Linked DNA regions of Nothobranchius furzeri. The protein of the gene in region 1 purifies or fractionates together with the protein of each later gene. This does not show direct contact. Links are inferred from orthologs where the notes say so. Each region holds a gene or a part of one and is shown in the gene's direction. Other genes may lie near its edges. The genes, in order: raf1a, cct5, timm50, bag2, pin1, hsp90ab1 and lrrc59.

Region 1 (3,921 bases):
TATTTCAGCATGTTTTAAATGCTCTTGCACATTTCCCACACTTCCGCTTGTTCACTTCCACTTTAGGCGTTATCTCCATCCTTAGTCTTGCACAACCACCTCACAAGTGGTTTCATAATCCACCTTTTTTCTGCTCAGGTAGGAATCCACATGTTCTTCCTCTCTTTCCTTGACTCTGTCCCCTTTTGTCCCTCCTGTCTCCCTGTGGGTCTGTTGTTTTGTACCCTACTGGAGAGCAGCTAGACTGCTTGAATACCTCTCCCGTCTTCTGGTGCCACAGATTCTGGCTGAAGAGGAAAGTAGGTATTGTGCACTTCTCCCAGGCTTTTGTGGAGACCTCACCTGTGAGTCCAGGACAGGTTAGAAAGCAGAGACTCTGTGTGAAGCGCATGTCTGCATTCTCATCTTTAGTCAATGCAGCCGTCAAATCATCAGTGGTAGCACGTCACATTTGTGCTAATTTGATCATTTATTCTAATATAATGTTTTTTTTCCTATAGCATGTGATGCGTGATCATGACTCTGGTAAGTACCCGTTCAGCCGTCTTCCTGGTTTCTAATCATGCACATGTAATAGTCATTTAGAAGGAAGTGATGTCCAATCAGACTCGGTGAGACACCCGTAGCTGTCCACAGTGCTTTAGCATTGGTGATCATGTTGGCGTAAGAGAAGGGATGTTAAAACCAAAACAAAGCTTTGAGAAATAAATCTGTTGATTTGGAAGTAGGCTGGTGGGTTTGTTGGGTGTTTGCCGAGACTCGACGCCCCCAAACTTCCGAATTTACTAATAGAAAGACTCCAGGTCATCAGGTGTTCTGCGTTACCCCAACCGTTAGCTGCAGAACGACCCACGGGGTCGTAACAGTGCTAATAATCACTGAGCTGTGACTTAAGTCAAAATGATGAGTGACAGAAGTAGTGGAAGGAAGTTTGATGCAGTATGAAAATTACAAAATAAAGAATAAATAACTTATTTGTTTTCACAGCGGGAAATTCCCCCAACCAGAGCCCCACAGGCTGGTCCCAGTCCAAAGCTCCCCCGCCTCACCAGCGTGAAAAAATCACCTCCTTCAGCAATCAGGAGAAAAACAAAATTGTGAGTCAAAATTTCTGACGTGTGTGTTAGCCGAAGCTTCTGTGTTCAGACCTTTTTGCTTTCTCTTCTCGCAGAGGCCCCGGGATAAGAGAGACTCCAGTTATTACTGGGAGATCGAGGCCAGCGAGGTGTGTCTGCAGTCCCGCATCGGTTCGGGCTCTTTTGGAACAGTGTTCAAAGGAAAATGGCACGGTAGGAATGCAGTTAGCATGAGTCAGAACCTCTCACACGGTGGCTTAGATGTTGACAGATGTGTTCAGGAGTTCTTCGACTCATTAAACGCGTGAAAAACTACAGCTTCATGCATCATTTCTTGTCAAACTAGCCCTGTAGGGCCAAAATAACCCAAAGTTGTGCATTTTTGTTGCAGGTGACGTAGCAGTGAAGATTTTAAAGGTCACCAACCCCACACCGGAGCAGTTCCAGGCGTTCAGAAACGAAGTGGCAGTCCTAAGGTTACAGCTAGTTCCACACCAGCTAACTGTTAAAATCTTAGTTTAGCTACAAAATAATGATTTCCTCTTCCCCTCCACCCCTGGTTGCAGGAAAACGCGACATGTGAACATCCTTTTGTTTATGGGCTACATGACGAAGGACAACCTGGCCATCGTGACCCAGTGGTGCGAGGGCAGCAGCTTGTACAAACACATTCACGTCCTGGAGACCAACTTCAAGATGATCCAGCTCATCGATATTGCCAGGCAGACGGCTCAGGGCATGGAGTAAGCTTAAAAAACAACGGCAAGTTACAGATAAATCAGATGATGATAGCTTTGTCCCTCTTTTCCAGCTATTTACATGCTAAGAGCATCATTCATCGTGACATGAAGTCCAACAGTATCCTTTCTCTGAACGTCTCACAGTGAGTGAATGAAAACGTCCCACTGTGTGTTTGGTTATGATTCCCTGACCTCAGCGCAGACATCTTCCTGCATGAGGGGCTGACGGTGAAAATCGGGGATTTTGGTCTCGCCACGGTGAAGGCTAGGTGGAGCGGCTCCCAGCAGGTGGAGCAGCCTTCTGGATCCATTCTTTGGATGGTGAGACACCTGCTACTCGAACCCTGCTGGGACCGTGACGGTGAACGAGGAAGACTCTCCGTGATGATTCTGTTGCTATTGTCATTGCCAGGCACCCGAGGTTATCCGGATGCAGGATAATAATCCCTACAGCTTCCAGTCTGATGTGTATTCCTATGGAATTGTTCTCTTTGAGCTGATGACGGGAGAGCTCCCGTACTCGCAGACGGCGAACAGAGATCAGGTAAACACCTTAGTCCCTGTGTAAGCCCACAGTCGGACGTGTGTCAGAGCTCAGGCCCACCGTGGAGCTCAGGAGGGGTGAAGGGGGTTGTGGAGCTGGCCTAAGGCCTGCCATGCAGCCCAGGCGGACTCTGTGGAGCCGCTGGCCTAATTTTAGTCCTCGTAACACAACCCTGTGGGAGGGAAGAGCATTAAAGCACGCGTGTAGATGTGTTGGTCCTCTCAGGCCACGAGGTCCAGCCTGACTTATGGAGATGAGACGAAAGCTCTGGACCACTTTCCAGGTACTTTGTTCTGCTGAGCTGCCTCTGGTGTGCTAGGTGTCTGACACCGTAGACGCACGCACTGTAACTAAAGAATGACTGCTGATTCACCATCGATCAGCTGTCCTCCCACCCTTGCACTGACCTCTGCTGGATTTTTAAACGGGATCGTTTTCCTCCTGGCTCCATATTTATGTCTCCTGTTTTCTGTTCAGATCATTTTCATGGTGGGAAGAGGCTATTTGTCCCCAGACCTCAGTAAGCTCTACAAGAACTGTCCCAAAGCCATGAAAAGGTTGGTGGCCGACTGCATCAAGAAGCTCAAGGATGAAAGGCCGCTCTTTCCTCAGGTGAGCCTCTGGTTCCAGCTGTTGGCAGGATTACAGATGTTCCTGTTGAGTTCATTCATTCATTTACTCCCATAGATCCTGTCCTCCATCGAGCTCCTCCAGCACGCTCTCCCCAAGATAAACCGCAGCGCCTCAGAGCCGTCCCTGCACAGAGCCTCACAGGCCGAGGACATCAACACGTGCACGCTGACCTCCACCAGACTGCCTGTTTTAAGCCTGTTTTAAGCTCTTGGAGAATATCGGCACCTCCTCCTCCTCCTCCTCTCCTCACACGACGGCTCTTCCTGTTCACAAATACACAATCTTAGATGCCCTACAGACATTTGTCATTTCAGACATGCTAAATAATAAATGTGTGAGTTAAAGAGAAGAGAAATCCTTAGAGGGTCAGGATATGGTACATCCCCCTATTAGGAGGCAGAACGAGGCTTCGTGTTGGTGAATTATTTGTAAATAAATAAATACACCCGTGCTACCTAAGATGACGGATGGACGCTGAAGGAGGCTCAGGAGGCACACGCCATCCTTTTGATCAAACCTCCCTGGTTTACGACGAAGAGGACTCTTATTTTTTTTAAGCTTACCTGCCTTAAGAGGAAACAACCTCAACTGTATTTCTGCACAATCTCACCTCCTCTGGTTATCACAAAGCCGTTGGAAGTTGTCCATCTTATTGCACAGTAGCAGATTACGTCTTAAATCGTAACGGACTAGACTTGGGATTTTTGTTTGTGTAACTTTACTTTTGGGTTTTGGATCCGGTCTGTCAGCGAGCGTCTCACTAGACCGAACCCTCCGCGTCGCGAGCTGGACGCTCGGCAGGTGTCTTAAATATTTAAAGTGACTTGGGAACTAATTTGTTTTGTTATGTCACACTGATGAGGTTGAATGTTTTATTTGCTATTTTAATAAAGTTAAGTGAAAAAGCCAAGAACAGATTCTTCTTGAA
Region 2 (4,026 bases), on another chromosome or scaffold:
ACGGATTTACGCACAATTCCTTCATATGATCCATCAAAGGTGATATTGAGCATAAGTGAACACTGGACACATAATATGCATGCTTTATTATCCAACAATGTAATTGCAACACGTGAAGTTATTATTTATTTTTTGTGCATCTGGTGTTAACAATATTTATTTTCACTGTTTCCCTGCAAGCCCACTATTAAGTGTCACCAAACACGCAGGTAAAGGTAGAAAAGCACATAAGCCAGCCGTGAAATAGGTGTGGGAAAAGGGTGCATGCTACGATGATTTAGTGTTAATACATGAGTAGTCTGACCTGCTAGACTCGTCCTAATACACGAGGCCCCTGGCAAATTCCTGCGGCTACTGAGTCTGTTTCACGTAAATTTATTAACATCTACCTTCTCATTTTGGTCCAAGCAGCTGAGATCAGCAGTCAGACCGTGCTCCTCAGCCTCCTCGGCTATCCCCTCAGCTATAGCCTGAGCTTGGCCCTTCTGGGACCCAAACAGCACCACAAATCGATGCTTCACCTCACAAGGCATGCTGGGGGGAAACAGATAAACAGATAAATATTTAGGCAATTCTAAAACGCCACAGGTAAAATAGTGAGACTAACTAATCAATTATCAGCTGCATTTTAACAAACATCTCAGCTTACCAACATACTTGGACAAATAAAAGGCAGGCTGCCACAGAAACACGTTTAACACACCGCTACGCCACCATTACCGTCAGTACCAGGATGTTGCGTCAAACTTTGACTAGTTACCAAAACAGCGCACGTGGACGTTTTTCACTCAAGAACACTTTATGAACATAACATTTCATATTTGGTCCGTAAACTAATTCGGAATTCCGAGAAACTCGACTCACTTTCTTTAGAGAATCGTGTTTTCTGGCATTAGTCCGTAATAAATACACAGGAAATACAAGCAGTTTAAAGTTAATAAAGTATTTCTACCTTTTTAAATTGTATGAAAATTCACCTCGTCAACTCCTTGCCAACATACCGGTAATTAGTCTTGTTACTGAATTCACGCGAGATCTGAGCTCAAACTGAGATTGCGCGTGATCGGAACAAACCAAGTTACGACAAAGACGTTCCCCTTGTTTAAAATTTGTTGTCAGTTGCAATGATATTAATTTGTATGATTGTGACTAATTTATGATATAGTTGTTCAAGCCTTTTGTCGTTTATAAAAAAGGTGACAGGAATGGAAGAAAACACGCTGAACTGAATTTGGTTCCGCCCTCCCCACCCGTGGAGCCTTCCAGAAGTCCCCGGCAGATCCGTGCGGCTTGCAGTTCAGCCACACTCCAGGATCACATCATTAAACGCGTTATTCTGTCAGATAAACGCCGATTGTGTGTTCTAAACTCCAAATCAGCATGTCCACTTTGGGCACATTAGCCTTTGATGAATATGGAAGGCCCTTCATCATCATTAAAGACCAAGACAAGAAGACACGCTTATCGGGCATTGATGCACTGAAGGTACAATGAGCTAGCTAGCATACATGTAGCGTGATGGCCTAACAAGCAAACCTGCTATTAGATATTTAATTTGGTTACAACACGAATTTATACATACGGCTTTGTGTTGCATGAGTGAATTTGTCCAACACATTCTGATGTTTGTGCAAAATAAGCTGAATTAGATTAGGAAATGAAATGAATTCGTTAGCTATGCTAAGAAGAGGCCCATGTGCTCCCTGTGCGTTCATCTAGTAGGAGGTGCTACATAGGGCTGTACCCTGCATGGTCATGTACATCACCCATACAGCCGACACGCTGTTTACATGCCTTTTGAGGGTGACTTTTAGAGGTAAAATGTGTTTTGATATGCACTTGTTTTGTTTTACAGTCTCACATAATGGCAGCCAAGGCAGTGGCATCAACGCTTAAGACATCTTTGGGTCCAAACGGTACGATCCAGTGCAGTGATGTCATTTCACTTGAATAACTGCTGAGATGTCGAGAGTCTGTGTGACCATTAGATTATTAATTTAATCTAGTTACAAACACAGCAGGTTTACCATGTCATGTCACCGTTTAGGTCTTGACAAGATGATGGTTGACAAGGATGGAGAAGTAACTGTCACTAATGATGGCGCCACCATTCTCAGCATGATGGATGTGGACCACCAGATTGCCAAGCTGATGGTGGAACTGTCCAAATCCCAAGATGATGAGATTGGTGATGGAACCACTGGAGTTGTTGGTGTGTAAACGTGTGCAGAAGGAACATTGTGTGAATGCTTTTTGTAGATGAACATGTGATATATGTTCTGTGTTAATTAATTTTATATAGAATTCTTGGTTAGTATTGATATTTTTATTTTAGTTAAATAGTTTTAATTCGGTAAAGTGCATAAAATTAGGTTTTGGCAGGTAAATTATGAGTTCCTAAAAGTGATTTGTGTGCTGCTACTATTGGGGCATTTTAGCATGCAAATGAATCAGAAAATGTCTAGATATCGGCCAAAAAGTGACAACTCGTATCGGCAATGACTCATACTTGTTGGTATTGGGGAAAGAAAACCCCATAACGGTCTACCTCCACTACCTACTGCTCTTCTAATGCATTTCTGACTCTGTTTACCTATTTTCCTGCATCCTCAGTGCTGGCTGGATCGCTGCTTGAGCAGGCCGAGCAGCTGCTGGACCGAGGAATCCACCCCATCAGGATCTCCGATGGTTACGACCAAGCTGCACGCATAGCCATAGAGCAGCTGGACAAAATAGCAGAAACTTTCCCCTTCGATCCCAACAACACCGAACCACTCATTCAGACTGCCATGACAACGCTGGGGTCAAAAGTGTAAATTAAATTATTATTTTAGTAGTTGTTGATGCCATTTTCCTGTGCCCCTGTGACCTGGCTGCTTTTTAAGTGAGTTATTGAGATTTGACAAATCACCTTTTAATCCTATTGTTGTTATCTAGCATCAACCGGTGCCACAGACAGATGGCGGAAATTGCAGTGAATGCCATCCTCACTGTGGCCGACATGGAAAGGAAGGATGTAGACTTTGAGCTCATCAAGGTGGAGGGCAAGGTGGGAGGAAAGCTGGAGGACACACAGCTCATTAAGGGAGTCATAGTGGATAAGGAGTTCAGCCACCCTCAGATGCCCAAGGTATGATTTAAAATATAAATGTTTGTTGTAAATATTGCTGCATTTTTGTGATGCTTTAACGTGCCTGAGCTAACAAATTCTCTTTTCAATTAGCTTCTCAAAGATGTTAAAATCGCTATTCTAACCTGCCCGTTTGAGCCTCCTAAACCCAAGACCAAACACAAGTTGGATGTGACCTCCGTTGAGGACTACAAAGCCCTCCAGAATTATGAAAAAGAGAAGTTTGAGGAGATGATCCAGCAGGTTAGTAATTCTCACAAATCCCGATGCTACAAAAATGACTTTTTGTGGTTCATGCAAATCAAGGAAGAATAAAAACACCTTAATTCTAGGTCAAAAGCACTGGTGCTAACTTGGCCATCTGCCAGTGGGGCTTTGATGATGAGGCCAACCATCTTCTGCTGCAAAGCGAGCTGCCTGCTGTGCGCTGGGTTGGAGGGCCTGAGATTGAGGTGAGGTAGAAGTCTTGCATGTGAAAGGTCAGAATGAGCTACCCTTGCTACGAGCTCACCCTTTGGTGTTTTGTTAGTTGATTGCTATAGCTACCGGAGGCCGTATTGTGCCGAGGTTCTGCGAGCTGACACCAGAGAAGCTCGGAACCGCTGGCTTGGTGAAGGAGATCTCCTTTGGCACAACCAAGGATCACATGCTCGTCATCCAGGAGTGCAAAAACACCAGGGCTGTAACCATTTTCATCCGAGGCGGCAACAAAATGGTACGCTCTCACAAGGCTGTATCGTTTTTGTCCTTTTTCATCACATTCATGTCTAATGGTCAAAACCTTTTCATTAGATCATTGAGGAAGCCAAGCGTGCTCTCCACGATGCTCTGTGTGTAATCCGCAATTTGGTGAAAGATAACCGTATTGTGTATGGGGGCGGAGCTTCAGAGATAGC
Region 3 (4,286 bases), on another chromosome or scaffold:
TTAGAGTTAGGGTTAGATCTAATCTGCAACCTTCAGATTACAGCCTGCTCTACCTCCTGAGTTCTTTCTGTTAAAAGTTGTGACAGCTCAACTTAGGTTGTTATCTGGATGAACAAGAATGTTTCTGGAACGATGTCCCATTAAATAGATGTTTACCCATAATGCATGACAGCACAAACAGCTGATCCCAGCAGTCAGCACGGTGGTGGAGGGCTGATGGTTTGGACTGGTTCCGACCCAACAGGACTCATTAAATCCACCATGAACTCTTCTGGATACCAAAGCCTCTTAGATTCTAATGTGAAACCATCTGTCTGACAGCTGGAGATCATCTCAAACTGGGTCATAAAAGATAATCATGATCCAGAACATGGAAGCAGATCTACAACAGAATCAAGATGTTGGAGAGGTCCAGTCAGTGTCCAGACCCGAACCAGACTTAGGACCTTCAAAGAGCTGAATGTCAGCAACCTTTAAGAAGAATGGAGCAGAACTCCTCCAGAACCATGATGGTGTCAAACAGAAGATGATTCCTGAGTTCCTGAAGGAGGATCTACAAGCTTAGGAGCTTTAGTCTTTGTTCTGATTGTTTTTCTGTATTCAGTCCAACTGTGGAGAACCCACCACAATCACCTGATTGTGATGGTGGTTTCCTTAGGGTTACCAGTCTCAGTCAGATTCAGGCCTCCTGTAATCTCACGTTTCCATGTTAAAATCAGGCCAAAGCTGCAAAGTGATCCTTTAACACAGATGTGACATTCACTAACAAACTGAATCTTTCGTTCGGCTTTTCAGATTAAAAGATGAGAACTGAATCCTTGTAAAAGAACCATTCCGCTTGTCTACTGGTGACGCCCACACCCATACGAATACGTAAACTGCACCACTGGGCGCTGGAGAGAGTAACAGCATTGCCGCCATATTGGATGGGTTCCGCACTTTCCAAACTAAGAGTGGGGAACTATGCCTGTTTTTGGTGCAGCCTACGGTTGCAACCATAAACACAGAGTGGTTGCAACACCTGGCGCACTGTTGAAAACAGACCACGTGGGATTAATATAGACTTTTCTAGCCTTCCTTTTGGGATTTTATATTTTCATTCATTTTGTTTATATTTACATTTTATTTATCATGCCATACCATGCGTCTGACTTAATGAAAAAGCATAATAAAAGGTTTGTTTTAGTAGGTTTATAGTTTCTCCGTAGATATAGTTGCACGGGGGCAAATAATGACCCATCCAAGATGGCGGCTCGCTACCTCACAAACTACCTACAAAGTCCCATTTGACTAGGGCGAATTTGCCACCAACCGTCATGGTGGTTTTGTGTCGCATCCGAAGGTCAGACTCATTTTCACTTCTGATTGGTCTAAATTTACTAAGCACCGCCCTTCTTTTAACCACGTGGACAACTCCGTTTCTGATTGGACAGTGTACTGGTCCGTCAACGCGAGCCAAACCAATCGCAGATCTTTGTCTTTCAGTCTTGCGTCACACGCTCACCGGCTGCTACAATCCAAGATGTCGGCTGTGTTCCCCATGTGTGTCCGAGCGAGTCACGGCCTCCTGAGGCTCAGCAACGGAGCGGTAGGTGCTTCCAGGCTGGCAGCGATGGATATCATCCGGACACTCTCCACAGACGAGCCGTCTGGCGGACCGCGCGGCGCGACGAGCGGACTAGCTCAGGCTATCCTCCAGGAGCGACTCCAGCAGCACCAGAGCCAGGTGAGGTGCGCTCGGTTTTCTGTCCAGCGGCGAAGGCAGTGCAGTTTGTACGTTTAAGTCATGACTCCGCCCTTCCGAGAATCCCCATTATATCAAACCGAAGCTACATCTAGCCACGGACGGCTAAGCGTTACCTGTGCAGGTTTCTCCACGGGAGGGTTTATATTATTGCTCGTTGGTTTTATGTGTTGCTGTAGCTGTGCGTGACCGTAATCGTGGGGTCTGCAGGTAAAATGCTGCGTCCTCTCTCATACTGACTTCAGCCAAGCTTCATTCTGTTAGAAAAATAACAGTCAAGGTGCTTTAGGCTAGAAGGACAGAACAGGACCTTCTTCTCTCCTCTAACTCATGCCAAACATCTCCGGGATGTTAGAGTACCCATCCATCAGTGTTTGAGATCCCATTGCCCTCATAAACGGTGGCTCTGTCAGAAGTTTTATTTATTTTCTGGCTGTATTGTAAAAATACTCACCTGTTCAGGCTTTTATTTTTGTATCATCTGCAAATCTGTGATTTCACCTGGTCAAAGGCGCTAATCCTGGTTGACCCACCAGATTAAGGACAACATTTGTTGAATTAAATCTTTTTGTTTGGTGCTTAATATCATTTTTGGAGGTAACAAGAGGTCCAGCTAACGTGTCTCAGTGCAGCATCACAGCTTTGACTTGTAATCAGACTTCAAGGCAAGGCAGCTTTATTTTTATAGCACATTTCACACACAGAGGCAGTTCAATATGCTTTTCCATTAGCAAGAATAGCAAGAACATTAAAACCAACACGACATGGCATCGGCCGATACCGACATCGATGCCGATATATCACGCATCCCTAATTATGTCACCAAGATTCTAACCTGGGTCTTTATTCCTCCGGAGACAAGTCGATCAATAACCTCCATCCTATCCTTCAGATTTCCAAAGACAAGAACTTCAGTCGTGTCTTTAACTGGAGGAAGTTTGACTGCATCCAGTCATTAACCTGCTCCAAACACTGGCGGTGTGAGTGGAGAGGACCACAGTCACTATGTGATAGAGCTAGGTAGATCTGGGTGTCATCTGCATAACTATGATAGGTAATGTTGTTATTGTATGACCTGGCCCAGGGGGAGCATGTAGAGATTGAAGAGCAGTGGTCCGAGAATTGATCCTTGGGGGGACCCCACGTGTCATGGTGATCTGCTTTGACTTCAAATGAAATATCTATTGTTATTGTTTGTTTTTCCAGGGCCAGCCACCTACAGAAGAAGGTCAGAGCAAGAAGGAAGGAGAGCAAACAGATGACAAGAAACAGAAGGAGAACATGGCCTATGCAAAAAAAATGGTGCTGCGGTTGGCGGGACTCCTAGGCCTTGGCGGAGCGGTCAGCGTTGTCTACATCTTTGGTGAGTAGGGCTGAACGATTTTTCGTTTTTGGACCGAAATCGTGATTTCAAACAGCACGATCACTAGGGATGCACCGATACAATACTGGTATCGGTATCGGTAAAAGTTAACCGATACCAGTAAATGATACCAATGCAGTTGCTTGACTTGACTTGACTTCACTTTAACTTGTCATTTCTGTTCACCTAATATTTTAGTTTTGTAATCACTTATATTACTTTTTATCTACCTTACAGTCTTTTCCTATTGAAAACAGAAGAAAATAAAACCTGTATTCCAATTCATTTAATTTTTTTGTGTGGTAGAAGTATCTGTATCGGTATCGGCGAGTACTCAGATCCAAGTATCGGTATCAGTTTGGAAAAAAGTGGTATCGTTGCATCCCTAACGATCACGTGACCGTCAAAGCTGCGGTTTTTGCGTTTTTGACTGATGTAACATCCGGGGTTTCCCCGTGTGTTATGGTGGCGGCAACAGGCAGCGCGGGGGAGGGGGTGGGGTATACTGTCCAGAGCCGAGCCCAATTCCACAGCTGACTGAGTTGCAGGTTATCTTCCATTTTAGTTTTCCACACACAGCGGGGGCGCAGTTGAGTGGGGAGAGAGAGACTCCTCCCACATCGGCGGGTTCAGGCTCAACGTCACTTTTGAGATACCCGAACCACCGCCACACTACTGACGTTGAGTAACTTTTCTTCTGAACAATGTCATCATCTCCAGAAGACAACTCCGAGTCATGACTGGGATCTACTTCGCTGTTTTCAGCTCCACGTTTGGCCATTCTGCTTATTAAACCTCTTCCTCGAAGTAGCGGAGCAGGAAAAGTGTAATTGCAAATGCTTCTTCTTTTTGTTAAATGGCAGTGGGCAACCAACGCGCATGGAGTGTTAGCGCCCCCTACTGAGGCTGCACACATCTGTTATTTCTGATCGAGACTCCCAGCTGATCACCGTAATTGAACTGAAAATGATCGTGATCACAAAGTGCGATCATATGATTGCCCAGCCCTAGCGTGTTCCCCTGTCCTCCGGGCCACACACACACACACACACACGGGACTGTCTCAGCTGTTATTTTCGTTAAGGAGTGTGCACGTACAGCATGCGCGCCTCGTGCACGAGCCTACTATTGAAGCTGCCGTTAACGCTTTTGGCCTGAGGGGGCGATCGTGAGCATAAA
Region 4 (4,236 bases), on another chromosome or scaffold:
TTAGTAATCATACATTTGGTTCCGACAAGAAGAATTTCTGTCTTATTGCTGTTCAGATAAATGTGTTGATGTCTTGTAACTTTTAACACATAAAAGGTAGTTGTGTGTGTGTAAATTAAATTTGATTTACACTTCATTCAGATATTGGTGAAGTTTTCAGATGGAGCCTTTATGCACTTGTGCTGATTTACAGTTTAACAGGTAACTTCTAATGAACAGATGGAATTTTTTTCAAGAGCTTGTGAAATCTGCTTGTGTCGGTTTGGGATCACCTTGTTTGTGTGGATGTAGTTTTCCCCAAAATAATTCTTGTTAATCATTTCTATAAATGTCCCCAAAACAGGGAATGACGCATTAGGGTGGCCACCTTAAGGGACGTCCACCACAGCTTCTCTGGACCATGGGTAACTGTTACAGGACCTTTTGAAACAAGATCTTTATAATTGTTGAACTATTTACATAAAAGGATTAGGGCCACTGAAGAAGAAGTTCTTTTTCTCTTTTCTGAGGGAAAAATAATCAGAATTCTGAGGTTAAGGTTAGACGTCTCATAAATATTTACACCATTTTGTTCCTATTAGATTTTGAGTTTAGGAAGAAAACTTTTGCCAAAAGTGTATGAATGTATTTTTTGTACCAGATATTTATATTTAGGGAAATTATTTTTAAAAAATAGATGTAAAAATCTCATGGGTACTTTAAAGCAGCAACCTGGAGTTTCCCCCCTTCCAAGAATTATTTATGATTTTCTTTTAATCCATAAAAGCCTGTACTGTGATAACCAAGGCAATACATCTTTTTGAAATTTTCTTGGCGATTTTTGGGGGAGGTTGAAATCACGGCTCCCCCAAAAGGGTAATCAGCTCCCCCGGAAGCCATCAAACGACATACACATGGGGAGCTCGAAAAGAAGATTGGACGGAGAGGTGATCAGAGGGAAGACGAGCCCAGACTGATGCAGAGTTGGTAACATTTCTTATGGACAAGTAAGTCTTTAAAATATACATGATAAACAGCACAACATGACTGTTCATAAAAAGGCCATAATCATGGAAACTGAGAGGCCTAGGGGTGTAATGCAGTTTTCACCTCTAGATGACAGGTGTCACTGCGTTGTGGGAATTCAGTTCAATTAATCCATAACAAAAGGCTGCTTAAATCTCACTTTTTCTATTATATCTATGATTATTATAAAGTAAAAGCCATTCTGGAAGGTCCACTGTGGCTCCAGAGTTGCGGGTTGCAGACCACCACAGGCTTTCATCTGTAGTCTGGAGTGAAAATGAATTATATATATATATATAGGCCTGGATAAGTTTATCAGAATAACTTGATTACTTTACCAATCTGCCTAATAAAAATTATGCCCAAATAAATCAAGACACATTACTTAAAACTGCAAAGTGAGTTGGAACATTATAGGTCTTTTATTTCCGTGGACCTGGAGGAGCTTGCTCACGGACCTCTGCTGGTCCACGCTCCTTACGATTGGGAGCTCCAGCTCTGGTCTCCTCGGGAACTTTCTGCCGGAGTGAAGGAAGTCCATGTTAGGAAATGTTCCCCCCATGGGGCGCTGCTGCTGCCTGCCTCAGTCCGAGGATTTACACCCAGCTGGACGGCTCGGAGGGACACACACTGGATTTTGCGCTCACCGAGGGAAAGCACTGTAGCCATCATCTTCGTCTTCATTATGGCTCAAGCGAAAATACAAGCGAAAATGAACGAAGCTGCCCTCTGCAGCAAGTTCAGCAGGACGCTTTCTATGGCAGACCGCTCGGGGCGACTCCTGGAAAGTTTGGATCAGCTGGAAACGAGGTAACAGGCCCTTGTTGTACCATGTGTGCTACGGAGCCGCTATTTGCCCCGGCCGCTAACATTTATTGGCATAAACCTTTTATAAACACTGTAAACAGGGCAATGTGACAATAAATGTTTTTCATAACAAACATAACTGGTTTGCAGCGTGTTATTTCATATGCTGTCTCTCTTTCTGTGTCAGAGTGGAGGCTTTACGAGAAGCAGCATCTGCCATGGAGCAGGAAAGGGAGTGCATCCTGGAAATGATTCAGTCCATACAGAACAGTCAAGAAATGAGGAACATCTGTGCTGGTGAAGCTGCTAACTCTCTCTTAACTTACATAAGCGCAAAAGTCACGCACGGCTTAATGCCAGGGAAGATACGCGGTTATAAAGGGGAACTAGTACGGTTAATGTATTTCTACCAGAATCCCATCTCCTCTGATCTCACCCAGACCCAGTTTGTGTGAACCAGGCTCATGTTTCACCTCTGGATCGTGTGAGTCAATAGCCTACATCTGGTTTATTGATTTGGTTCCGCTGTAAACAGACAAAAAGGCCTAACCCTTAAAGCTCATTATTTAAATCCAGAGTCTGACCAGGGTAGACCGTCTAGTCATGTTGGTTTATGCTCCATTAAACCTCATTAATGTAAGTTAGTATGATTCACACGAGCTCCATGGTTCACCTAGAAACTCCTCTCAACTGGTCAGGGATTTGAAAGAAGGGCTTTATGTAAAGGTGCATTATGTAAGACTGACATCCTGTGGTCAAATTTGGTTACTGCAGACCACATTTGTAAGCAAAAGTCACTGCCGTGAGTGTCAATCAAAATCAAATCAAAGATACTTTATTAATCCCAGAGGGAAATTAGAGTTTCAGTACACACAATTCAGAGATCAGACATACATGGGCAAGACATATGACAAGAATTGGTGACTGTGGTCATTCGCAACCCTGAGTCGTGCTAATTGAGATCAGAGGGTTACATGAGGATTGGTTCAGGTGGAGGGAAAAAAAGGCACTTCAGAGTTACCCTCCACTGGGAAGGCAGCTTTGCTATGCAAAAAAAAAAAAAACACCCACCTCCGACAGAGATGCAACAGACTTCAGGCATTACACAATATAAGTGTCCACTAGGTGGGGAGGTGGGTTGGGATTATCCCTACTTCAGTTCCTGCAGCCACGATAGATTCTCATGGCGCAAAAGGGCCTGTTACAGATCAGCACCAGAAGATTCTAGATGACAAGAAAAGATGAGTTATAACCTAATCTTTGAATAAAATTTGCAAACATAACCGAACATTCTGTCCGTTAAACACTAGGCAGTCCGGCTCCGACTTTGCTTCCTGTTCAACTACTCTAAGCCAAGAATGCGCAATACATCCACAAATACGGGTATGCGCATACAGCGGAGGGACTGTCAGAGGGGAGTTTGATGGATGGATCATGATTCAGTCATTAAGAACGGGATTGCATGTTTCAGAGGAAATGAAAATTATTAGTTTTTCGACAAAGCATTTACTTTATTGGTTGCTGTACGATGTGATGACCATAACAAGCAATATGGCAAAAAATGCTCCAGAGAAACATCGTCCATCCCAATAAAAAATATGTTTGGAAATGTTATTGCATTCATTTCTTCCAATTAATATCAGTGGTATTTTGGTGTCAGCTTGTTATTATTGACAAGTTGGCAGAATCATGGAGAACATCATGAATATTGCTTAACAGGTTTCAGTGGGGGCAGTATTATGGTGTGGGGTGGGATCTCAGACAAATCAGAGCTTGTACTCATTGAAATAAACTTTTAGAAATATGAAATGACTATTGATGTGCTGTTACAGCCGCATTAAAAGCAGTTTCTTTCCTATAAAGATTTAGTAATATGTTTACATGTCTTCTAGGTGAGAGGGAAGAGTTATCTTTGACTGCGAACCGTCTGATGGGCCGAACGTTGTCTGTGGAGATCTCTGTTGGCACAATCAGAAACCCCCAACAGGAGGATGCACTACTCAAGGCCACGTCTATGATAGACGAGATTGTGAAAAAGCTGCTGAGCGACATGGAAGGTGGCCGTCAGCAGCTGCTGGCCCTGCACGCTGCCTGCGTCACGGAGGCACCGCTCGTCCCTATTGACCAGAAGTTTCAGACCGTGGTGATCAGCTGCGCTCTGGAGGACCAGAAGAAGATAAAGCGAAGGCTGGAGACTCTGCTGAGGAACGTTGAAAATGCCGAAAAGAACATCAAGATAATGGATCACCAAAAACTGGAGGGCACAAAAGCTAACGGGGGTCACTGAGACCCTTTGCCGAGGTGTCTTGAATTCCACTAACCTCACAGAAAGCTATAGTTAGCTTTTACACATTTAATTAATTTCAGATGGACTCTGCTTGAAGCAGCAAGGAGAGGTCTTATGGGAAAATGCCATACCGAATT
Region 5 (4,061 bases), on another chromosome or scaffold:
GAGGTTTTTAACACCGTGTGAACTTGACATATGCAGAAGGAAACAGGTGACTCAGCATGTTTAGGAAACATAACCAGATCCCCAAAAGTGCAGAAATGTGTAGGATACAGTCACCAAGAGTCACGTGGTCCTTGAATATGGTATACCTGTGAAAACAAATTAATTTTCATTAACAGAAATATGCAAAACAAAAATATATTAAGAATAATTTCCAGACAGGTATCTTACCACTTCTTTAACACAATCTTGTCATGTCGCGTTCCAGTCTGAGCAGCGATGAGCTTCTTCAGATCTCCAATGGTATCTTCTGAGCTGAATTTGGGATTTAAGGAGCCATGCAAAAGTGCAGAAAACATTCAAAAATACTCAAGATGTGCTTTAGTGACCTATTGGATTCCAGTTAAACACACATGGTGGGTTTGCTCAGATGTCAGAGATTCAATAATCAAATATGATCATTACTCCACTTTCAGGTTAATCTGAATCTAATTCTGAGCAATTCAACAGGGATTTCAGCATTTCTCTACTGCTTACACTTAGGAAAAATAATGTGTAACTGAAGTGATAAATGAACTGGAACGATTCACTGGAATCTAGGGGACAAATTCATTCGTTTTCCTGTGTGTGGGGTAAAAGATATCCAAATAGACTTAAGGGATTGGTTCCCTTATGGCGGTTTCAGGTGGACTCATCCGGTTAATTCATATAAAGAATTATCTTTATTTATATTAAATAAAAAAAAAGTCATCGCACTGTTGTTATGGGTCCAAGGAAGGATACTTGCATTTGACTCGAACCTTCTTGCCCAGGCGATCGTTACAAACCACCTCAATCATTTTGCTTCTGTCAGAAATAAGATGAGACGAGATTGACTCAATGTCTGACAATAAACAATAACTCACACAATAAGAAAGCACGATGTGTCAACACAAACAACGTTTGTTTGGCTAAAAACAGTGTACACGCTATCAACACCCCTCGTGCTGTTATTCGACAAATCAAAGCACATGCATTACCTTAAATTCATTAAAAACATTTATATAAACGTTAAATTACACAAAATAATTTTCCTATGCGTCTTACATACCCAGAAAACTATAGAAGATCAAGAAGTATTCTTTCCTTGCTGATATTTTCTGGAACGCTCTCGAGACACGACTAGCCGTAAAGTACGTTTGGCCATGTGATCATCCTCTAAACCAATCAAATAAACCAACAAATGACTGGCATGCTTGTAGGCATGAGAAGAGAGGGCGGACTGTACACCGAAAACAACGTGTGCCGTAAACAATCGACAACTGTCGCATAGATTAGCCCAAACGCCTCTCTGTTGCATCGTTGAGGCATTGAATTGTAATTGGAAGCTCTGCTGCAGAAAACTAATATGTCAGAGGAGGAGGATTTACCGACTGGATGGGAGAAGAGAATGAGCCGTAGTTCAGGTATTCAAACATAAACTGCTGAAGGAAAAAAGAGCTTTTCGTCTTTATAAATGGTGTGTTGTAAACTTAGCCTACTTGCTAGCAGCGTGTGCATTGTGGTGTGGAAAGAAACAGTTATGGGAAATTTGAAATAAGTTTTTCTAATTAGCGATGCGCGGATTCGTGCAGAACGTCGTTTTCTTACTTGCAGCTTGTGACTGTTGTGTAGTGGTGTCGTTTCGTGTTTGCTAAATGCTAATTCATTCAGTTCGGCTGCAGGGCCTTGCATTACGTCACCCCGCCCAGATGCCTTACGTGCAAAACAGCGCGAGACACAACAACTATGAAACAAGGTCTTATAACTCTGCTCCCTAAGACAGACAAAGATCCTTTAAAAATAGAAAATTGGAGACCTATCTCACTTTTAAATGTTGATTACAAAATTTTATCTTTGGTGTATGCGAAAAGACTAAAAAGGATTTAGGTGAGATAATAAGTGAAAACCAGAACGGATTTCTTCCCAAACGTCACATTAGCTCTAATATTAGACTAGTGTTGGATCTAATCGATTATTCACATTTTATAAACTCAAATGCTTTGATGATTTTCCTTGACTTTTATAAGGCATTTGATTCGATTGAACACACCTTCATTTTACAAACACTTCAAATGTTAGGGTTCGGAGAGTCGTTTATTAGTGTTATTGAAATGCTTTATAAAGATATAAACAGCTCAATAATTTTATATCCACAGATGTCTGGGAGGTTTCCAATATTAAGAGGTGTACGACAGGGCTGCCCAATGTCTTGCTTTTTGTTTCTGATTGCCGCTGAACTGTTGTTTTTAAATATTTCACACAATCCAAATATTCATGGTTTAGAAATTTTTAATAAAGAAGTTAAGATGTCCCAATTGGCAGATGACACAGTCTTGTTTCTTAGAGATAAATCACAGATACCAAATGCTCTACATGCAATACGAGAATTTTCAGAAGCTTCAGGACTGAAGCTAAATGTTATAAAAGTGAAATTTTATGTTTGTATGAAACCAATGACCAATATATGTTCAATATTCCCATCAAACAAACTGTTAGATATTTAGGAATTCACATAATAAAAGACAAAATGATGAGACAAACATTAAATCTGCAATCAAGGATTAAAAAAACTCATTTGATTCTTAATATGTGGCTGCAAAGGGACCTCTCTATTTTTGGCGGGGTGTTGTTAACAAAAGCGGAAGGCATATCAAGGTTAGTATATCCCACCCTCTCCCTTCATGTTAATGATGCAACTTGTAAAGAAATTAACAGTTTATTTGTAAACTTTGTCTGGAAGAACAGGTATCATCATCTAAAAAAAGACATACTCTATCTGGAAAGAGCAAGGGGGAACTTAGAACTCTTAAATTTTTTCCACTTAAACAACACCTTTAAAGTCAAATGGATTAAAAAATGTCTAGAAATGCCAGAATCTTTATGGAATTTTATTCCACACAACCTATTTAAAATGGTAGGGGGTTTAAATTTTCTGTTACGTTGCAACTTTATTATTTCTAAATTACCAGTGAAACTTTCAATGTTTCACCAGCAGGCTTTACGTGCGTGGAAATTATGCCATACACATAATTTCTCCCCACACAAAGAAATATTATGGAATAATGGTAATATTACCATAAACAACAAAAGCTTATACAAAATGAATTGGGTTGAGAAAGGCATCATTTTTGCCGCGGATTTATTTGATGATAACGGAAGCCTTTATACCTATGAAAACTTTTTGAAAACTAAGGACTTTCCAGTGAAATACAGAGAATTTGCCTCGGTCATGAGAGCCATTTCTTCAGGCATAGTTGAGTTAATGAGAGCACACTTTGTTTATCAGATTTAGTTTGCAGATGCCATCTCTAAAAGTTGGGGGTATTGATTTATTAGACAAGAAATGTTCAAATCAGCATATAAGGAAGGTTTTATGTTGTTCTGATACAGTGGCACCCAAAGGAACGTTTTTCTGGAACACACAGTTTGATATAAATTGGAAGAAAGCATGGATGGTTCACTTTCAATACTGTATTTCAAACAAGATATGGGAACTTAATTTCAAAATTTTACACAATATTTATCCATGTAACAAAAAATTATCATTGTTCAAGGATCTGGATGAGAAATGTACCTTTTGTCATACTGGTTCAGAGACTATCATACACTTATTTTATAATTGTCCTCTCTCATCTGGATTTTGGAAAGATATGGAAAATTTCATTATGATTAAATCCAAACACACTATCCAAATCAGATCTAAGGATGTTATTATCAAGTTTGAATGTAATGATAAAAGGTTAAGTTTTATAATTAATTTAATGCTTCTTTTAGGGAAATTTCATATACATAAAGCGAGGGTCTCCAAATCTCTCCCTAACTTTTGCGTTTTCTTAAATGACTTCCATTCATATGTTAACACCATAAAGTTAATTGTAAATAAGAAGGCAGAACTCACTTTAATAAGTCTTTAATGTTTATTTCTGATTGACCCTGTATAACAAAAACAATCACAAAATGTACCTTTTGGAAGGTTGTATTATCTGTTATGTGCCTCTTGTTGATTAATGAGCTGATGTCTGTTCGTGTGTATATTTGATGTA
Region 6 (4,232 bases), on another chromosome or scaffold:
GTACTGGCGCGCTTGTTTTGTGCACCAGAGTGTATACACTGAACGGGGCTTAATGTGAATTCGCAAAATGAACCCTTTTCAGGAAACGAAACTTCTGCTAACAGGGTTCGATCAGATTACCTAACTAACCTTGGAAGACCTAATGCGCGGTAGTAACTAAATGAATAAAAAAGGTTGAATAATAATAGCATTGAAATTAAGTTACACCAAAAAAGCGGTCCGCATTTTTTTTATTAAAACGATTTGTTTCTAATCGGTTTAATTTACAAAACATCTGATCACATAAAAAAACAGCATTGTGATTTTCCTACTCGTTTTAATCAATTAGAGGATAAAGCCATCATATGATTATTTCAATGTTAAACTTCTTTTTAAATGTTTTTTAAAAGAGTACATAAAAATTCTGTGTACATTATTGTTAAAATGGTCATTCTTACCAATTCTGAAATTGTAACTAATAAATAACATATTCTGTATGCAAAGTATGACTGTACTTCTGTTATTTATCACTGAGGTTACTATCTAAATTTATAAATGTGTCTTCTGTAGTTAAACTACATAATAGAAAGCTGAATCATAATCATTTGTGCATCTCTTGCATTTGATGGGTCTAACTGCGTACATTTATTCCACTCTAATCCACTTGACAACAGTGACTTCTTCCCCTTACACTGTACTAAAAACTCAATTCCAAAGTCGTGATCAACATGACAAATATAGTATTACATTTATGTATAGCAGTCCATCTTCCACTGGTGTTCTATGTCCATAAGAAAATCTGTAATTCATATAATAACAACCATTAGTTCATTTGACAATATAAAGCATATATTCTCATGATTCAGTACGGAAAAGGGTTGAGTTGATGGTTGTTAAGGCGTTTTTGCTGTAGGAACATTTTGTGACAGATGATACGTCGGGAGAGGAAAGGGGGAGATCTGTGACGTCACTTTAAGGCGGGGCTTTCATGGAAAGTGCTAGAAGCAGGCTAGAAGAAACGAAGCACACCTTCTCGTGTTTGAAATATTCATCCGTCGGAGTAAAAAGACCCACAGTCTATGTCGAATTTCAGGGAAACTAGACGCCACTTGAGATTTGAACTTGACGCGTGGTTTTAGTGTTATGCGAATCATTTCTCTATGTTGTCGCTAGATGGGATGATTGAGATCAAAAAACATCGCCTCTCAGTGCATGGTTTGCTGTAGCTCAACCTACCACAAGATGGCGACAACGTTACACTAAGGTCCGACTTCGTATACATTTTCTTTACTTAGATTGCATAATTGGCATTTAAACCCTTTTTACCCAACAAAACGTGAATAATAGATTATTCTTTTCCAGTGAGGAAGCATACAATGTGTGTTTAGTTCTGGCTGCGGTTTTACATAAAAGTGATTGCTTCAGGTTGTAGCTCGTGAACTGCGGATGGATACGACTGCACACTGCGACCCACGTGTATAAAGACTGGTCTGGTGCCGAAAAGTAGTTCCTTTCCTTTTTCTTCAGTCAGGGAGCGCAAGGGACTACACTTTTGCTGCATTTTATTCAAGAAAAAGTCAACGAAATTACCAAGGTGCGTACATTAACGGGTCCGTAGCTCGTGTCAGACATCCTTACCTTTATAAGTTTGTTAAAATATCATCGGTATGTATGTGTTTAACGAACATTATTAGTTAATGAAAATCCAGAGGTTAATATGGTGGTCGAATAAGTGTTTCGTGGAAGACAGACGCCTAGTACGTCGGCTGATGTTTTCATTTTCCTCTCGAGAGACTACTATTTGCTTATGTTTCCGAGCATCGTAGTGATGCTCTTGAGCAGCGGGAATGCGGCACCGTGATGTCAGGCAGGTGTGGTGACGGTGACTCCGCTGGATCGAGTTCTCGGCCTGATTAAATCCGTTATAAACCCACGTTAAACCGGTACACTGAGTTTAATGTGTGCGTAATAAGGCCTGGTTACCAGCCACGAGGGGTAGTGTTCATTTGGTCGTTACGTAATTGAACGCGGTTTCAATTAACCTCCACGTTTTACTGAAACTATCACATGGAGGCTAAAACAAGTACGTTTGTAGTATTTATGGAAGTCGTCGTCGCATTGTTTATCTATTAAAGTGACTTGAGTTGATCCGCCTTAATCGTTCGCCAGCACGTGTTTGCTGCGTCCATTGTCTAGTAGAAGCCATGTTTGTTAACTGACACTTCCGCCCTTATGTAGCAGACTGCTGCAGCGGCCATCCAACTTAATGAAGCCACTTGACGAAATCGCGTTACTTTGAAACTATCTTAAGTTCTGTTTCACTTTCATTTACTGAAGTGACTTTGTTATATTTTCAGATGCCTGAAGAAATGCACCAAGAGGAGGAGGTTGAGACCTTTGCCTTCCAGGCAGAGATCGCTCAGCTGATGTCCCTGATCATCAACACCTTCTACTCCAACAAAGAGATCTTCCTTAGGGAGTTGATCTCAAACGCTTCTGATGTGAGTCTGCTGAAGCTTCAGTATTCTTCTGACTTTAAGGAAGAAACTAACCGCTATTCCCTGTTTTCAGGCTCTGGACAAAATCCGCTATGAAAGCTTGACTGACCCCTCAAAACTGGACACTGGCAAAGATCTGAAAATTGACATCATTCCCAACAAAGCTGACCGGACTTTGACCCTGATTGACACCGGGATTGGCATGACCAAAGCTGACCTTATTAACAACCTGGGCACCATCGCCAAGTCGGGCACAAAGGCCTTCATGGAGGCCCTCCAGGTACTACGCATCCCATAATGGCCTGCACAGGATCTTAAGAGACTGACTGATCTTGTGAAGCTAAATTTGTTTTATTCCTCCAGGCTGGTGCTGACATCTCAATGATTGGTCAGTTCGGTGTGGGTTTTTACTCTGCTTATCTTGTTGCTGAGAAAGTGGTCGTCATCACCAAACACAATGATGATGAGCAGTACGCCTGGGAGTCATCTGCTGGAGGTTCCTTCACAGTCAAGGTTGACAGCGGTGTGTAATTCTAACCATCACCAGTGACGTCTGAGTGTGCACTACTTGCTTACTCTAGTTTATTTTAGCTTTTCTGAAAATTCCTCAAATGTTTTCAGGCGAGCCCATTGGCCGTGGAACTAAGATCATTCTGCACCTGAAGGAGGACCAGACAGAGTATGTGGAGGACAAGAGGGTCAAGGAGATCGTTAAGAAGCACTCTCAATTCATTGGCTACCCCATCACCTTGTTTGTAAGTGCTTAAAAGTACGTTTTAAAAATTTTAAGTCTTGGGCAGATTTCTAAAGCTTTTATGTCGCAGGTGGAGAAGGAGCGCGACAAGGAGATTAGTGACGACGAGGCAGAGGAGGAAAAGACCGAGAAAGAGGAGAAAGAAGAAGAAGCTGAAGACAAGCCCAAGATTGAAGATGTGGGTTCAGATGATGAGGAGGATTCCAAAGACAAGGACAAGAAGAAGAAGAAAAAGATCAAGGAGAAGTACATTGATCAGGAGGAGCTGAACAAGACCAAGCCCATCTGGACCAGGAACCCCGATGACATCACAAATGAAGAATATGGTGAATTCTACAAGAGTCTAACAAATGACTGGGAGGATCACCTGGCTGTCAAGGTACACGAGTTTCCGACAAAGTTTTAACCCTGCGGGCTGATTTTTTTTCTAATGCTTTATTTTCTTTCAGCACTTCTCTGTGGAAGGCCAGCTGGAGTTCAGAGCCCTGCTCTTTATTCCTCGCCGTGCACCCTTTGACCTCTTCGAGAACAAGAAAAAGAAGAACAACATCAAGCTGTACGTCAGGCGGGTCTTCATCATGGACAACTGTGAGGAGCTCATTCCTGAGTATCTGAGTAAGTTCAGCTGCATTTTCCACTGTGGTCTGAAATGATTCCACAGACTCTTTAAATGGCTAATGCATTTAAAATTACTTTGTCCACTCAAGACTTCATCCGTGGTGTTGTGGACTCTGAGGACCTGCCCCTCAACATCTCCAGAGAAATGCTGCAGCAAAGCAAGATCCTGAAGGTTATTCGCAAAAACATAGTCAAGAAGTGCTTGGAGCTGTTTGCAGAACTGTCGGAGGACAAAGACAACTACAAGAAATTCTACGAGGCTTTCTCAAAGAACATGAAGGTATTGAAACTAAATGGTGGATTCATCTGAATTGGCTTGGTGTGTTTTATAAACTGAGGGACGCATTGCTGTATTTTGCATTTAAAGATCATGTTTGGTTGCT
Region 7 (4,178 bases), on another chromosome or scaffold:
GTGAATCATTGTAGGACAATCAAAATGGCATGTGTTTGTATTTTAGTAAGTATTATGTAGAATGAATTACAAAATGAAAATTTTGGGAAAAAGCACATTTCATACCTGCAGTATCAAATTTGATACAGACATTTTAACATGGTTTAACTGTAATATAAAGAATGAGTTACTTAATAAAAACAGTCAGATGGACTGTGTTAAAAATTACTTAAACTTTTATGTTATTCTTACCACAACTTCTCAAAAATTAGTAATGATTTACCTGACAAAGGGCAAATGGATCACTCGCTGGGAGTAGCCATGTTGGGAATGATCAAAACTAAACTTGAGCTGCCTGTTTGGCATAATAATCCAGTAGGAGGCAAAATACATGTATCAGATTATATACAACCCGTTTTTAAGGCAAATATTGATCATGTCAATGAGATAGAGGTTTCAGAAACTCATGTAGCAAATATGATGCAAATGGCATGGGTTAGTAATAAAAACAGGTCTAAGTTGAAGAGAATACAATATCATAGCACAAGAGGACACAGGTCCTAACAGGCATTTATTAAAGACATGTAGAAAACACAAATGGCCCATTCACCTTTTCTGTGCTGTTTGTTACTTTCTTTTTTTCAGGGTTCTGGCAGTCAGCTGATCGAGGAACCACATTCCTCTGAAATGTTCTCAGGAGAACTAAATGACTTGATTAAAACGATGAATGTCCTCCTCAGTGGCATACAAGAGGAGAGGAAGACCAGCTACTGGACCAGAAAAATTAAGACCATCAACAAAGTTTATTTTGTTTTCTATGTTACAGCTGCCAGTCTGTTCTTGTGCTTTATGTTTTACAGCTGGTTAAGCACAGACTAGCCTTTCCGAAACAAAACAAAAAACAACATCAAAAATAAGTTGTGAGGCTGACTCACAACTGGTTTTTGAGTGCAGAATTGTTTTATGTTAGCAACAATAAATACAAATTGCATAGCTGTTTATTAAAATGATTAATAAAGTGTATGCATTGCACTGTCTGTGAGAAGATGTTTGAGCTAACAAAAAGGGAATTTCAAGGTTTCTCTTTAAAATGGCCCCAATTTGGCACAAATCTTTTTTGGTCTTACACCAGTGAAGTATTAGGTTGAGTACTTTCATTCAAAACCTGCCACATCCACCCCTTTACATGTCTTCCACGTTTGGTAGAAGAGCTTGGTGGCATATACCTCATTAAATAATCATCGATAAAATAAAATTGAAAATAAATACACAAGTACCTAATCTAATCCTTAATTCGTTACATAAGCCACAAAGACAAAAAAATACAGATATCTATAATCATGTCACTGTTTATTAAGTTATTTAATGTTCCTGTGCTGCACTTCCTCCTGCTTTTTTAATCTGTCACTTACACATTAAATCAGGGGGGTGGGGCCAATTGAGTAAAGAAGATTGCTCTGGCCCGAAAAGGAAACACGGAGGTTAAACATTCAGAAGTTAAGTCATACTTTATGGGAAAACAGATTTTTTTTAAATCTGCTTTAAAGTAGCACTAAGAAAACTTAAGTCAGAATTTGTGATGAATGTACTATTGCCTCCATGCTAAAGAGAAGGACAGCGCCTCGGGTTAGGATTTGGAGAGGGAGATTCAAAGCGCGTCTTGTCTCCTCCGGTCCTGCAGGGGACGCTGCGTGGTTTGCGCTAACGTCTCCGCGTAGCAGCTCAATCAGTGACGTGGATTTTCGTTCAGTCAGTGCTGCCACTGCCAGAAACACGATTCAAAGCTTGTGCACCAAATTTCTTCTAACTGACGTAATATACCTGCCGTGTGTTTGTCTTATATGTCGATGTTGTTTACCGGCTGTTAAACTAGGACGCAGTTTTCCACGGTTATCGTTTACAGGTGAGAAATCTTATAAAATCGTCGTAGTTTCAGGGTTTCCTGTTGTCTGGCGATCAGAAGTATCTCCACTGATCTGTTTAACCTCGGTGTGTTGGCAAGAGGCGCCTCGGACTGAAGGATGAGTAAAAACAAAGTGTTAAACCTGAGGGATAAAATCAGTGGAAATGAAGTGGACCTGAGCCTGAGTAACCTCAGTGAGGTACCAGTCAAAGAGCTCGTAAGTCACTCAGGGTGTTTACATGTTTGTAATAAATACAGCCAGATAAGGAGATGTTGTGATGTCATGGTTTAACTACCTTCCTTTCTCTAACAGTCTTCATTTCCCAAAGCCACTGCCGTGGACATGTCCTGCAACAACATCATCTCCCTTCCTGTAAGTGTCTAACTGACTCATCCAGAGCAAATATTGAGCATTTTAAGTGAAAGCACGTGAGTGCATCCACGTCAGTATGTTTCATTAAAGCTACCAAAGATACTTTTTCTTTTAAAAGTTTGAATTTCTATTAAACCGAGCTGTACATTGTTAAATGGAGAGAGTGATTCAAACTTTTCTTTTCTTGCATAAATAATTATAAACTCTAAAATCTCGAGGTTTACCTATCCACTTTCATCTAGTTTCTGCTGTTATTGTTAAGCATGTTTGCGGGTTGATGTTGCTCAAACTGAATAATTTGCAATCATGTTTTTACTTTTATTTTGTTCATGCAGCCAGAGTTCTGCAGCCTGACTCACTTAGTGAAGCTGGACTTGAGTAAAAACCAGCTGACCCGTTTGCCAGATGACCTGGGGAACCTAGTCAACCTTCAACATCTGGACCTGTACAACAACAAGCTGACGGTTCTGCCTGTCAGCTTCTCTCAGCTCAGGGTAAGATATGGACCATGCAGCTCAAACACACCGCCCGTTTTACATGGAGATCCTCAGAGCACTGGATCTGTTTATGTTCCCCGTCCTTGTATAGCTGTGGTGGGGGGGTTTACTCTTGTACCGTGGGCCCTTGCTCTGGCTCTGACTTTGTAAAACATGAGAAATTATGCTGGCAATGCAGAATGTGACAATTTAATTGAAATCTATTCATTATGTTGTTTTTTATGATCAGAAGCTAAAATCACAATTCAAACTTGATAAATGTCACACTCCTGTTGTCTGATGTATCAGTCCAAGTCCAAAGTGACTGTGTGTGTGTGTGTGTGTGTGTGTGTGTGTGTGTGTGTGTGTGTGTGTGTGTGTGTGTGTGTGTGTGTGTGTGTGTGTTTTAGAATCTGAAGTGGCTCGATCTGAAGGATAACCCTCTGGAACCTGGCCTAGCTAAAGCTGCAGGAGACTGCCTGGATGAGAAGCAGTGTAAACTGTGTGCCATAAAGGTGGCAGAGACTCATTCATTAATCAGCTTGTTCACCAAAACAAACATGTAACTAATGACTGCATTTCTCAGGTTCTGCAGCTCATGAGAGCAATTCAGGAGGATGTTGATCGCGCACGGGAGAAACGTCTTTTAAAGGAAAAAGGTGGGTAAATGAAAATGTTCTAGACAAAAGGTGTTAAAGAGACGATCGATGGTGTGAAAGAAAACCTCCTGCATCAAGATTTGTGAAGCTAGATGTTTGACCATTTGTAGGAAATTGGTTTCAGATTAAAGTGTAAAAAGCATCAAAGTCAACCCACTGACCCAACGTTGTCTGCTCGTAGAGCTGGAGAAGAAGAGGGAGGCCAAACAGAGGGAGCGGGAGGCCAAAGAGAGGGAGGCCCGTAAACAGGAAAAAGCAGAGGAGAAGGAGAAGAGGAGGAAGGAGTACAACGCTCAGGTGGCAGCTGCAGCTGCGAAGGCTCAGCAGAAGAAAAATGAGAAGAAAAAGAAAAATGGACAAGCAGCAGGTGAGATCAACGCGATGGTTCGTGTTTGAAATGAGAAACGTTTGTAGTTTCAGCCTGAAGATGTTCTGATGTCACGTTTTGTCTCTGCAGATAAAAACGTTGCAGCAAAGCCAGCACCTAAACCATGCCGTTCCCTCATTGGTCTGGTGTTTAAGCTCCTCCTCCTGCTGATGTTGGGCATGGTAGGAATCGTCGCTGCCTGTCAGCTCACCGACCTACAGAAGGAAGCCGTCTGCGTGCCGATCAACGCCGCCGTCACTGACGGCGTATCCTGGGTCAAAGTGCAGGAGGGTGTGGCCAGACAGCTGCTGCTGAACCTGTCGTCCGCCGTAAAAGAACTTGTTGAATCTTCACAAACAACTAAGAACTGATCCAGAGGAGCATGCAGAAACGAGACTGAGCTCTCCCTCCTCCTGTCTGC

What was found.
Region 2: the proteins of raf1a (region 1) and cct5 purify together in Homo sapiens (affinity purification with mass spectrometry; 3 studies listed by BioGRID and IntAct, with this or other methods). This does not show direct contact. The link is inferred for Nothobranchius furzeri from reciprocal best matches to the Homo sapiens genes RAF1 and CCT5.
Region 3: the proteins of raf1a (region 1) and timm50 purify together in Homo sapiens (affinity purification with mass spectrometry; 4 studies listed by BioGRID and IntAct, with this or other methods). This does not show direct contact. The link is inferred for Nothobranchius furzeri from reciprocal best matches to the Homo sapiens genes RAF1 and TIMM50.
Region 4: the proteins of raf1a (region 1) and bag2 purify together in Homo sapiens (co-immunoprecipitation; 3 studies listed by BioGRID and IntAct, with this or other methods). This does not show direct contact. The link is inferred for Nothobranchius furzeri from reciprocal best matches to the Homo sapiens genes RAF1 and BAG2.
Region 5: the proteins of raf1a (region 1) and pin1 purify together in Homo sapiens (co-immunoprecipitation; 3 studies listed by BioGRID and IntAct, with this or other methods). This does not show direct contact. The link is inferred for Nothobranchius furzeri from reciprocal best matches to the Homo sapiens genes RAF1 and PIN1.
Region 6: the proteins of raf1a (region 1) and hsp90ab1 purify together in Homo sapiens (affinity purification with mass spectrometry; 8 studies listed by BioGRID and IntAct, with this or other methods). This does not show direct contact. The link is inferred for Nothobranchius furzeri from reciprocal best matches to the Homo sapiens genes RAF1 and HSP90AB1.
Region 7: the proteins of raf1a (region 1) and lrrc59 purify together in Homo sapiens (affinity purification with mass spectrometry; 3 studies listed by BioGRID and IntAct, with this or other methods). This does not show direct contact. The link is inferred for Nothobranchius furzeri from reciprocal best matches to the Homo sapiens genes RAF1 and LRRC59.

Annotation. Positions count from the first base shown.
Region 1 is NC_091755.1:58,347,345-58,351,265, forward strand, and holds the end of raf1a (raf-1 proto-oncogene, serine/threonine kinase a), read left to right. Parts: intron 1-239; coding exon 240-359; intron 360-500; coding exon 501-525; intron 526-987; coding exon 988-1,097; intron 1,098-1,171; coding exon 1,172-1,289; intron 1,290-1,467; coding exon 1,468-1,552; intron 1,553-1,642; coding exon 1,643-1,819; intron 1,820-1,887; coding exon 1,888-1,934; intron 1,935-2,018; coding exon 2,019-2,137; intron 2,138-2,228; coding exon 2,229-2,360; intron 2,361-2,837; coding exon 2,838-2,972; intron 2,973-3,047; coding exon 3,048-3,197; 3' UTR 3,198-3,421; downstream 3,422-3,921. UniProt on the Homo sapiens protein: Serine/threonine-protein kinase that acts as a regulatory link between the membrane-associated Ras GTPases and the MAPK/ERK cascade, and this critical regulatory link functions as a switch determining cell fate decisions including proliferation, differentiation, apoptosis, survival and oncogenic transformation.
Region 2 is NC_091747.1:54,098,038-54,102,063, reverse strand, and holds the start of cct5 (T-complex protein 1 subunit epsilon), read left to right. Parts: upstream 1-1,226; 5' UTR 1,227-1,380; coding exon 1,381-1,485; intron 1,486-1,855; coding exon 1,856-1,916; intron 1,917-2,047; coding exon 2,048-2,212; intron 2,213-2,613; coding exon 2,614-2,812; intron 2,813-2,937; coding exon 2,938-3,130; intron 3,131-3,223; coding exon 3,224-3,373; intron 3,374-3,462; coding exon 3,463-3,582; intron 3,583-3,659; coding exon 3,660-3,845; intron 3,846-3,922; coding exon 3,923-4,026. Other genes in the region: mtrr (methionine synthase reductase), read right to left, coding at 390-533. UniProt on the Homo sapiens protein: Component of the chaperonin-containing T-complex (TRiC), a molecular chaperone complex that assists the folding of actin, tubulin and other proteins upon ATP hydrolysis.
Region 3 is NC_091753.1:57,198,088-57,202,373, reverse strand, and holds the start of timm50 (mitochondrial import inner membrane translocase subunit TIM50), read left to right. Parts: upstream 1-1,486; 5' UTR 1,487-1,504; coding exon of another isoform or gene 1,505-1,522; coding exon 1,523-1,726; intron 1,727-2,950; coding exon 2,951-3,107; intron 3,108-4,286. Other genes in the region: clip3 (CAP-Gly domain-containing linker protein 3), read right to left, coding at 1,505-1,542. UniProt on the Homo sapiens protein: Essential component of the TIM23 complex, a complex that mediates the translocation of transit peptide-containing proteins across the mitochondrial inner membrane. Has some phosphatase activity in vitro; however such activity may not be relevant in vivo.
Region 4 is NC_091752.1:19,643,860-19,648,095, reverse strand, and holds the start of bag2 (BAG family molecular chaperone regulator 2), read left to right. Parts: upstream 1-1,436; 5' UTR 1,437-1,690; coding exon 1,691-1,815; intron 1,816-1,999; coding exon 2,000-2,109; intron 2,110-3,704; coding exon 3,705-4,099; 3' UTR 4,100-4,236. UniProt on the Homo sapiens protein: Co-chaperone for HSP70 and HSC70 chaperone proteins. Acts as a nucleotide-exchange factor (NEF) promoting the release of ADP from the HSP70 and HSC70 proteins thereby triggering client/substrate protein release.
Region 5 is NC_091744.1:9,158,834-9,162,894, forward strand, and holds the start of pin1 (peptidyl-prolyl cis-trans isomerase NIMA-interacting 1), read left to right. Parts: upstream 1-1,261; 5' UTR 1,262-1,384; coding exon 1,385-1,442; intron 1,443-4,061. Other genes in the region: ubl5 (ubiquitin-like protein 5), read right to left, coding at 109-146, 229-312, 781-836. UniProt on the Homo sapiens protein: Peptidyl-prolyl cis/trans isomerase (PPIase) that binds to and isomerizes specific phosphorylated Ser/Thr-Pro (pSer/Thr-Pro) motifs.
Region 6 is NC_091742.1:8,415,726-8,419,957, reverse strand, and holds the start of hsp90ab1 (heat shock protein HSP 90-beta), read left to right. Parts: upstream 1-1,432; 5' UTR 1,433-1,573; intron 1,574-2,336; coding exon 2,337-2,480; intron 2,481-2,550; coding exon 2,551-2,757; intron 2,758-2,840; coding exon 2,841-3,000; intron 3,001-3,098; coding exon 3,099-3,232; intron 3,233-3,301; coding exon 3,302-3,610; intron 3,611-3,680; coding exon 3,681-3,846; intron 3,847-3,938; coding exon 3,939-4,129; intron 4,130-4,232. UniProt on the Homo sapiens protein: Molecular chaperone that promotes the maturation, structural maintenance and proper regulation of specific target proteins involved for instance in cell cycle control and signal transduction. Undergoes a functional cycle linked to its ATPase activity.
Region 7 is NC_091756.1:45,077,348-45,081,525, forward strand, and holds the start of lrrc59 (leucine-rich repeat-containing protein 59), read left to right. Parts: upstream 1-1,378; 5' UTR 1,379-1,791; exon of another isoform or gene 1,792-1,882; intron 1,883-1,909; 5' UTR 1,910-2,000; coding exon 2,001-2,099; intron 2,100-2,195; coding exon 2,196-2,255; intron 2,256-2,590; coding exon 2,591-2,749; intron 2,750-3,141; coding exon 3,142-3,246; intron 3,247-3,317; coding exon 3,318-3,390; intron 3,391-3,571; coding exon 3,572-3,757; intron 3,758-3,847; coding exon 3,848-4,128; 3' UTR 4,129-4,178.